Linked DNA regions of Caenorhabditis elegans. The protein of the gene in region 1 purifies or fractionates together with the protein of each later gene. This does not show direct contact. Each region holds a gene or a part of one and is shown on either strand. Other genes may lie near its edges. The genes, in order: sre-29 and shc-1.

The links.
Region 2: the proteins of sre-29 (region 1) and shc-1 fractionate together in Caenorhabditis elegans (co-fractionation; one large-scale study listed by BioGRID). This does not show direct contact.

Annotation. Positions count from the first base shown.
Region 1 is NC_003280.10:12,400,106-12,404,028, forward strand, and holds the start of sre-29 (Serpentine receptor class epsilon-29), read right to left. Parts: upstream 1,787-3,923; coding exon 1,329-1,786; intron 709-1,328; coding exon 552-708; intron 511-551; coding exon 388-510; intron 231-387; coding exon 106-230; intron 1-105.
Region 2 is NC_003279.8:971,124-975,046, reverse strand, and holds the start of shc-1 (SHC-transforming protein homolog 1), read left to right. Parts: upstream 1-1,913; 5' UTR 1,914-1,994; coding exon 1,995-2,060; intron 2,061-2,109; coding exon 2,110-2,180; exon of another isoform or gene 2,181-2,326; coding exon 2,327-2,399; intron 2,400-2,960; exon of another isoform or gene 2,961-3,096; coding exon 3,097-3,587; intron 3,588-3,923. UniProt on the Caenorhabditis elegans protein: Scaffold protein which plays an important role in the activation of the JNK pathway composed of mlk-1, mek-1 and kgb-1; by bringing together mek-1 and mlk-1, promotes mlk-1-mediated phosphorylation and activation of mek-1 which in turn phosphorylates kgb-1.

The DNA.
Region 1 (3,923 bases):
TTTTTATTTTTCAAAGGTTGCAATTTCCATATTTAATATAGGAAGAGGAAGAGAGGAAGAGGAAGAGAAAAAAAAAAGTTTTTTTATTGCAATTTCCCAACTTACAAAAACAGGAAGTTCTCCACAAAATGACAGCAAAATGGGGGGATTAGGTCATAAAATAGTGCAGTAATTCCGATTCCACATAGAGCAATGCATGATAAAACGACAAAGACAAGCCGGGTTCCAAGCTGCAAATTTTAGGTTCAAGATGTCCAAAATTGCCCACAATTTGCCGGAAAATTACCCCAACTTGAAGTTTTATTTGCCCGTTTTACCCAATTTGCCAGGTTTTTTTATCGCCTTTTTGTTTGATTTTTACGCATGTTGTGTGCCCCCAAAACTCACATATAACGCTCTTAAATTCTCCTTGACCTGAAATTGCTGGGAAACCGAAAAATGCCTGCGTCTCCTTGGATTTCTAATCTCTCGTTCAAAAGATTCATTGCACTTTTTCACAAAGAAATATGCCTGGAATTTTTGAAAATTTGATAAAAATAAAAATATTATACCATTGCAGAAAATGGGCAACAAATAATCCAAGGAAGCTGGGCTAGAAATGGCCCAACTTTTTGAAAGAGTAGGGCAAGAGATGTGGATATTGATAAAAATTGAGAGATAACTGTTAGAAATAGAGGAATAAAAAGTTGAGTGTTGGATTCGTAGTTTCTGAAGGAAAATATTTTGGAAAAAATTAAAAAGATCGAATTCGAATTTCGCGCAATTTTAAATGTAATTTTGCGGCTAAATTTGTTCAAAAATTATGCATTAATATTTTAATTTTTCTGAGATATTTTCTGAGGAAATTTTATGCTAATTTTTTTAAGTTAAAAGTGTAAATTTGGAGTCAAAAAGCTTTTTAAATTTAAATTTTGAATGTTAAAATTTCCCTATAAAACAATCGAAAAATTTGGAAAATTCATTATTTTTAAATTAAAAAAAAGTTTGTTTGAAAGTTTTAGTTTTAATTTTATTATCGAAGGTTTTTGAATACTTAAATTTCGAGTTTGGTCACAATTTTTTTGGTTAGGTGAATTTTTATTTAAAAAACGCTAAATTTCAAGTTCAATTGTTTTTAAAAATTTCGATTTTTTCGTTACAAAATCAGAAAACTGGAAATTTTATATATTAAAATTTTTTTCTCAAAATTTAAATTAAAGTTTTGAATTTAAATTGAAATTCCAAACTTGAGATTTGTACCAATTAAAAAAAAATTTTTTTAGTTTGAAAAAAAATTCAAATAAGAATTTCAAATTTAAATAAATTTCCCTTTAACAATATGTACTAACTCTATCAAAACCGACGCAACCACCCTCTCCACCGCAATTGCAAGAACTCCAAATATGATAGTAAACATGTAGTGCCATTGCAGAAAACCCCCAAAAATCAATAATTCCAGACCATTTACTGATTCAACTTTTAGCTTCCGCGTTGGGTCACTGGTCCAAATTTCAATATGCACGCCGAGTTCAAATCCTGGATTCAAAATTTTCAACCGATAAGCTATAGTAATCAATTTTCCAATTATAAGCTCAAACCAAATCCCAAATAAAGGAATCGCCAGAATATACAAATTGCGGTGAAACATCTTAATTTTCAGAATTATATAAATGTTTAAAGTTAGAATATAGGCACATATAAGGTAAGAAAACAACTCGACGATTGATAATACCAGTTGAAAATTGAAAGTTTCATCGTAGAAATGTATAGGTAACCAGATATCGTTTGAATTGATTTTTATGAGCATTTTTTTAAAGTAAAACTCACACTTTTTTGAGTATATAATAGCTAGCCAATATCGCAGATCACCTGCGCTGAACTTTTTTGTTTTCCTGAACCTAAATTTCTTTAAGACACGGCATATACTTAAAACGCACAAAGCACACGGCAATTTGTGAGTTTCCGAGAACAAAAAGCTGTGAGTTGTGTTTATTGGTCATTTGTAGAACGACGAACAGAACCTGGAAAGTTTTGAAGCCAATAACTATGAAATGAATAATTTTTAAAAAAATTTCCCACTAAGTCTCCGAAGCACCGCCCATTTAATGGTTGGTGTCTCAAAATTGTTTATTATTTGGAATGAGATTTTTTTCTACCTAGCAAAAATATTTTTCTTACGAATTTTGAGCTTTACAAAGCTTTTTCAAACTTTTGATTTCAAAAACGTGTGCTCTGTGTCCTCGGCAGTGTGAGCACATTAGAGCAAGCAGTTGTCATTTTTTGAAGCAATTGGTGTTATAGTGTTCAGCATTCTCCAGTCAGCATTTTACTCAGACCTTGAAACATGCTAAATACTTGATATTTTGCATATTCCTCTTCAACCTTGCTCACGGAGCCGCCACTGTTCTGACCCTAAATAACTGCACTTCAAATGAAAAAATCGAGGAAGTTTCTTGCCTTTTTGTGAGTTTTTCTAAAGAATCAATTTTAAGCTTCTTAATTGAGGTCTAAATATGACTATTTTGTTTAGTAGGCACCTCTTCAGGTCTACACGCCTACCTCATGCCTACATGCCCCGGCTACTAGATTTTCACGTTCGCTGGTTCAATTTTGATAGTAGGCATAGGTAAACATAGTAGGCAGAGGTAAACGGTACCCTCAAATCAGGGGTGGGCGGCAAATTTTTTTCCGGCAAACCGGCAAACCGGTGATTTGCCGAAAATGCGAATTTCCGGCAAATCGGCAAACCGGCATATTGCCAAAAATAAAAATTTCCGGCAAATCGGCAAACCGGCAATTTGCCGGAAACAAAAATTTCCGGCAAATCGGCAAACCGGCGATTTGCCGAAAATGAAAGTTTCCGGCAAATCGGCAAACCGATGATTTGCCGAAAATGAAAATTTCCGGCAAATCGGCAAACCGGCAATTTGTCGAAAATGAAAATTTCCGGCAAATCGGCAAACCGGCATTTTACCAAAAATAAAAATTTCCGGCAAATCGGCAAACCGGCATATTGCCAAAAATAAAAATTTCCGGCAAATCGGCAAACCGGCATTTTGCCGAAAATGAAAGTTTCCGGCAAATCGGCAAACCGGTGATTTGCCGAAAATGAAAATTTCCGGCAAATCGGCAAACCGTCAATTTGTCGAAAATGAAAATTTCCGGCAAATCGGCAAACCGGCATTTTACCAAAAATAAAAATTTCCGGCAAATCCGCAAACCGGCATATTGCCAAAAATAAAAATTTCCGGCAAATCGGCAAACCGGCATTTTGCCGAAAATGAAAGTTTCCGGCAAATCGGCAAACCGGTGATTTGCCGAAAATGAAAATTTCCGGCAAATCGGCAAACCGTCAATTTGTCGAAAATGAAAATTTCCGGCAAATCGGCAAACCGGCATTTTACCAAAAATAAAAATTTCCGGCAAATCCGCAAACCGGCATTTTGCCGAAAATGAAAGTTTCCGGCAAATCGGCAAACCGGTGATTTGCCGAAAATGAAAATTTCCGGCAAATCGGCAAACCGTCAATTTGTCGAAAATGAAAATTTCCGGCAAATCGGCAAACCGGCGATTTGCCGAAAATGAAAGTTTCCGGCAAATCGGCAAACCGATGATTTGCCGAAAATGAAAATTTCCGGCAAATCGGCAAACCGGCAATTTGTCGAAAATGAAAATTTCCGGCAAATCGGCAAACCGGCATTTTACCAAAAATAAAAATTTCCGGCAAATCGGCAAACCGGCATATTGCCAAAAATAAAAATTTCCGGCAAATCGGCAAACCGGCATTTTGCCGAAAATGAAAGTTTCCGGCAAATCGGCAAACCGGTGATTTGCCGAAAATGAACATTTCCGGCAAATCGGCAAACCGGCATTTTGCCGAAAATGAAAGTTTCCGGCAAATCGGCAAACCGGTGATTTGCCGAAAATGAACATTTCCGGCAAAT
Region 2 (3,923 bases), on another chromosome or scaffold:
GAATGTTTCCTTCCTCATCGCAATTTCTCATTTCATGAGTTTACTACTTTCCTGCAAAAAGATAACATGTATCTTAGGAACTAATTTTTATTTCAATTTATTTATTCGAATCGCAGAAATTTCCGGCAATTTTGGCTATTGCCGATATTACAGAAACTAAATTTGCAAAAGTTATCAGTTATCGGTAATTCTAAGCCTAAGCTTAAACCTAAAACTAAGCCTAAGCTTAAGCCTAATCCTGAGCCTAAGCCTAAACCTAGTAAATAATTTTACCTCTAGTTTCACTATGTATCATTTCAATTCAATAACATGCAAAAAAGTAAATGGACAAACTCCACTAAATTCAGAAAACCTTTGCTTCTGGTAAATACTCTTTAGGCAGCAGGTGATTTTAATTGTCTATAGGTGTTATAACTCCACAATAAATTCTTTTAACAAGTTATTATATATTTTTATTTCCAGCTCCCACTATGAATGTTGACTTTAAAGACCCTGTATGGCTAATCAATAGTTACAATTTTGTTGGTATTTTTTCTATATCAATAAATACGGCGACTATTTTTTTTGATTATTTTCAAAAGCGAGAAGATGGAGAGTATGAAGTATCATATTCTGGCGTTTCAGGTGATCTCCTTTAAATGTGGAGTATCGAAATCTGGAAAATATTTTTAATTGACTCCAAATTTTCCGCTGATTCCGAATCTCGATGTGAAAAAAATCAAAAATTCAAAAAAATCTGATAGATTTGGATTCTAGATTTTTTAAAAATATTATAGATGAGTTTTTGGGACAGGAAAGTAAATTTAAGCCGCGCTAGAGAGGTTTTTGTGTCGAGTTCCAATTTTCACAGGTATATGTAGGCGCAAAAAAACAAAAATAAAAATTATGGAATTCCGGAAGAATTGAAGTAAATTTAAGCCGCGCTAGAGAGGTTTTTGTGTCGAGTTCCAATTTTCACAGGTATATGTAGGCGCAAAAAAACAAAAATAAAAATTATGGAATTCCGGAAGAATTGAAGTAAATTTAAGCCGCGCTAGAGAGGTTTTTGTGTCGAGTTCCAATTTTCACAGGTATATGTAGGCGCAAAAAAACAAAAATAAAAATTATGGAATTCCAGAAGAATTGAACTCATCCCACCCCTCCCACTCCCACTCCCCAGTCGAAGCAGTTACCGACTGATCCAGGGAGGATGAGGGAAGCCTAGCTCCTCGGTGTGTGTGACTTTTCCGACCTAGATTTACAAATTAAAATCAAAACGGTTCACGGAAAAAAGTAATGACTGTTGAAAAACTGCTTATTTTATTGCATTTGTTCAATTTATTAAATTTTCCAATTTCCCGGTTGCCAAAAAATCAATAAAATTCAATTTTCAGAAAACCAATAAAATTATATTTCTCATCAAAATTCAAATTTCTATGACGTCGCCAGAATTAAATTTCTAGGTCACCGGTGACGTCTTCAGGCATAGTTTAAGTTTTCTAGGCCACCAGTGGCGTCATTTATTTCCCCAGGTATAATTTGAAACTTCTAGGCCACCGGTCACATCATTAATTTGTCTTCCACGGTCAAAATATTTCTCTTCCAGAACTAAAATAAGATTTCTAGTCCACCAATGACGTCATATCTTCTCCAAAAAAGCTATCAAGGTTTCCTAGACCATTAGTGACGTAATAAGTAGGCAATGATATTTCTAGGCCACGGCCCCCCCCCCCCCCCTCTGATCAAAAAACAAAGTTATGAGTCAACTTAACTTATTAGAATGCTGACTCACCCAGTCAACACCAATCTAATCTTTCCCTGTCTCCTCCCTACCACTGCCTGCGCCTCTCCGTCTCGCGCGCTCTCTCTCCCACTCCGCTCACCGCCTGCGTCTCCGTTTCTCTCCCGGTCATTCCTCATTCACTCAATCTTGCAAAATTTCGGTTGTAACGAATTTCGAGTTAGATTTTTTCTAAAAATAATCAAAAATTCCGTCGAAAAATCAACTTGCGGCGATGCTCAACGTGGAGCCCTCATTTGCAGAGGAGCTGCGGAGCAGCGGGGTTTCTCTGTCGGCTACTGTGAGTTTTTTATTAGTTTTTTCCCCGAAAATATAAAATTGTCTTTCAGTACCTCGGAAGTGTTCCAGTAGTCGAGTCAATTAACGTGATGGTTTCCGAGATGAGAGTTCAAGTTGTTTCGTTAGTTTTTCTTATGGCTTAAAATCAAAAAAAAATCTTATTCAAAAATTTAGAAATCAGGCGGTAGGCAGGCATGAAGGCAGGTAACATCTGCAAGCTCAAATATATAAAAAATCTACGTAATAAAGTAACTGTTCAATTTTCAGAGAATGTATACAACACGTTGCAGCTACTGTTGGCGTGACTGCGGCTCGAGAAATCAATCCAGTTGTTAGTAGGGTGAGTTTTTTTTTGTGAATTAAAAAAACAAAAGAAAATAAAATAAAAAACTTGCCATTTTCTGGGCATGGCTAATGGTAAAAATTTACAAAACATTTTCTCATTAATTTGATATTAAGTGTTACCAAAAATGCATGACCAGCTTTGCAAAATGTTTAAAAAAAAGGACCCGTGAAATGTCGGCCGCGCTACGATATCATCAAGAATTATTTCAAATTAACAAGCTGTCCAAATTAATGACTAAAAAATTATAGCAACCGACATCTCACAGGTTATTAGAGAAAGGTTACATGGTGCATCGACTGGAAATATCTGACTCAACTTTGACTACTTATATCTCTGCTGGTTTTGGTTTTTTTTTGAAAAAGTGTCAATTGACAAAATATTTATCGTTTTTTCTACTACAACTTTGCATTTTAACACTTTTTGATAGCAGCGAAATAAACTGAGATAATTACATGGTGCATCGACATGCTCAAATTTTGATAGCTTATATATCCAGTAAAATTCAGCCAAAAGCCTGCCACTATAGAATGTACTAAAGCAACCGACATCTTACAGGTCGATCAAAAATCGCGCTAAATGATGTCAGCCGCTATTCATAGAAAAGTTATTATCACTAATTTCGACTAAAATTATTGCAGCCGACACTTCACGGGTCGATGAAAAAGCCCAGGTAAACCATCCTTATTTTCAGGTAATCGGTGAAGTGAAAAAAGAAAACTTCCCCGTAGACATCAACATTTCCTCGAAAATGATCAAAATCATAAAACAAAGTCGTCTAATTCAACGTCATCCCTTCTCATTCTTCTCATTCGGAGCCCAAGGCCAAAAGGGTACGGACACGGAGCTAATGTTCGGCTACATTGCAAAAAACAAGGATGGAACGGATCGTCGATGCCACGTGGTGTTCATCGAGGATGTGCACAAGCTCATCGACGTCCTTACCACTGCGATCAATGTGAACACTTTTGATGCACAGGCGAATGCTTCAACTTCTAACGATGGATTTACGGTGCCGGCGCCGCCGATGAGACATCGAAGTTCCCTGCATCGACAGTCATTTGTGTCGAATTGCCGAGCACCTACTGTAACTGAGGATGTTGTGGGGAAAGTTTGGTATCATGGAAATTTATCCAGAGAGGATGCACAGGCTTTGTTGAAGACGGAAGGCGATTTTTTGGTTCGGTAAGGTTTTTTAGATTTTTTATAGAAAAAAGCTAGAATTTTGCTGAATTTCTAAAACGTTTGGCTTCATGCTCACTAGGTTCACACCAGGGGCGCGTGGGAATCGGAAATTTTCGGCAATTGCCAAAATTCCAACTGAATGCCGACATTTTCGGCAATTTTCAAACCTAATTATAATTCGAAAATTGAAAAAAAAGTTAACTGTGTTTTCAGTATTCGATTAGTCATTTTTAAAAGCAAACGGTCAATACTTAAAAAATTAAAAAATGTTTAGGCTCCTAAATCTACAAAAAAATATCAAATCTATATTTTCGGCAATTCGGGCAAAATTTGATT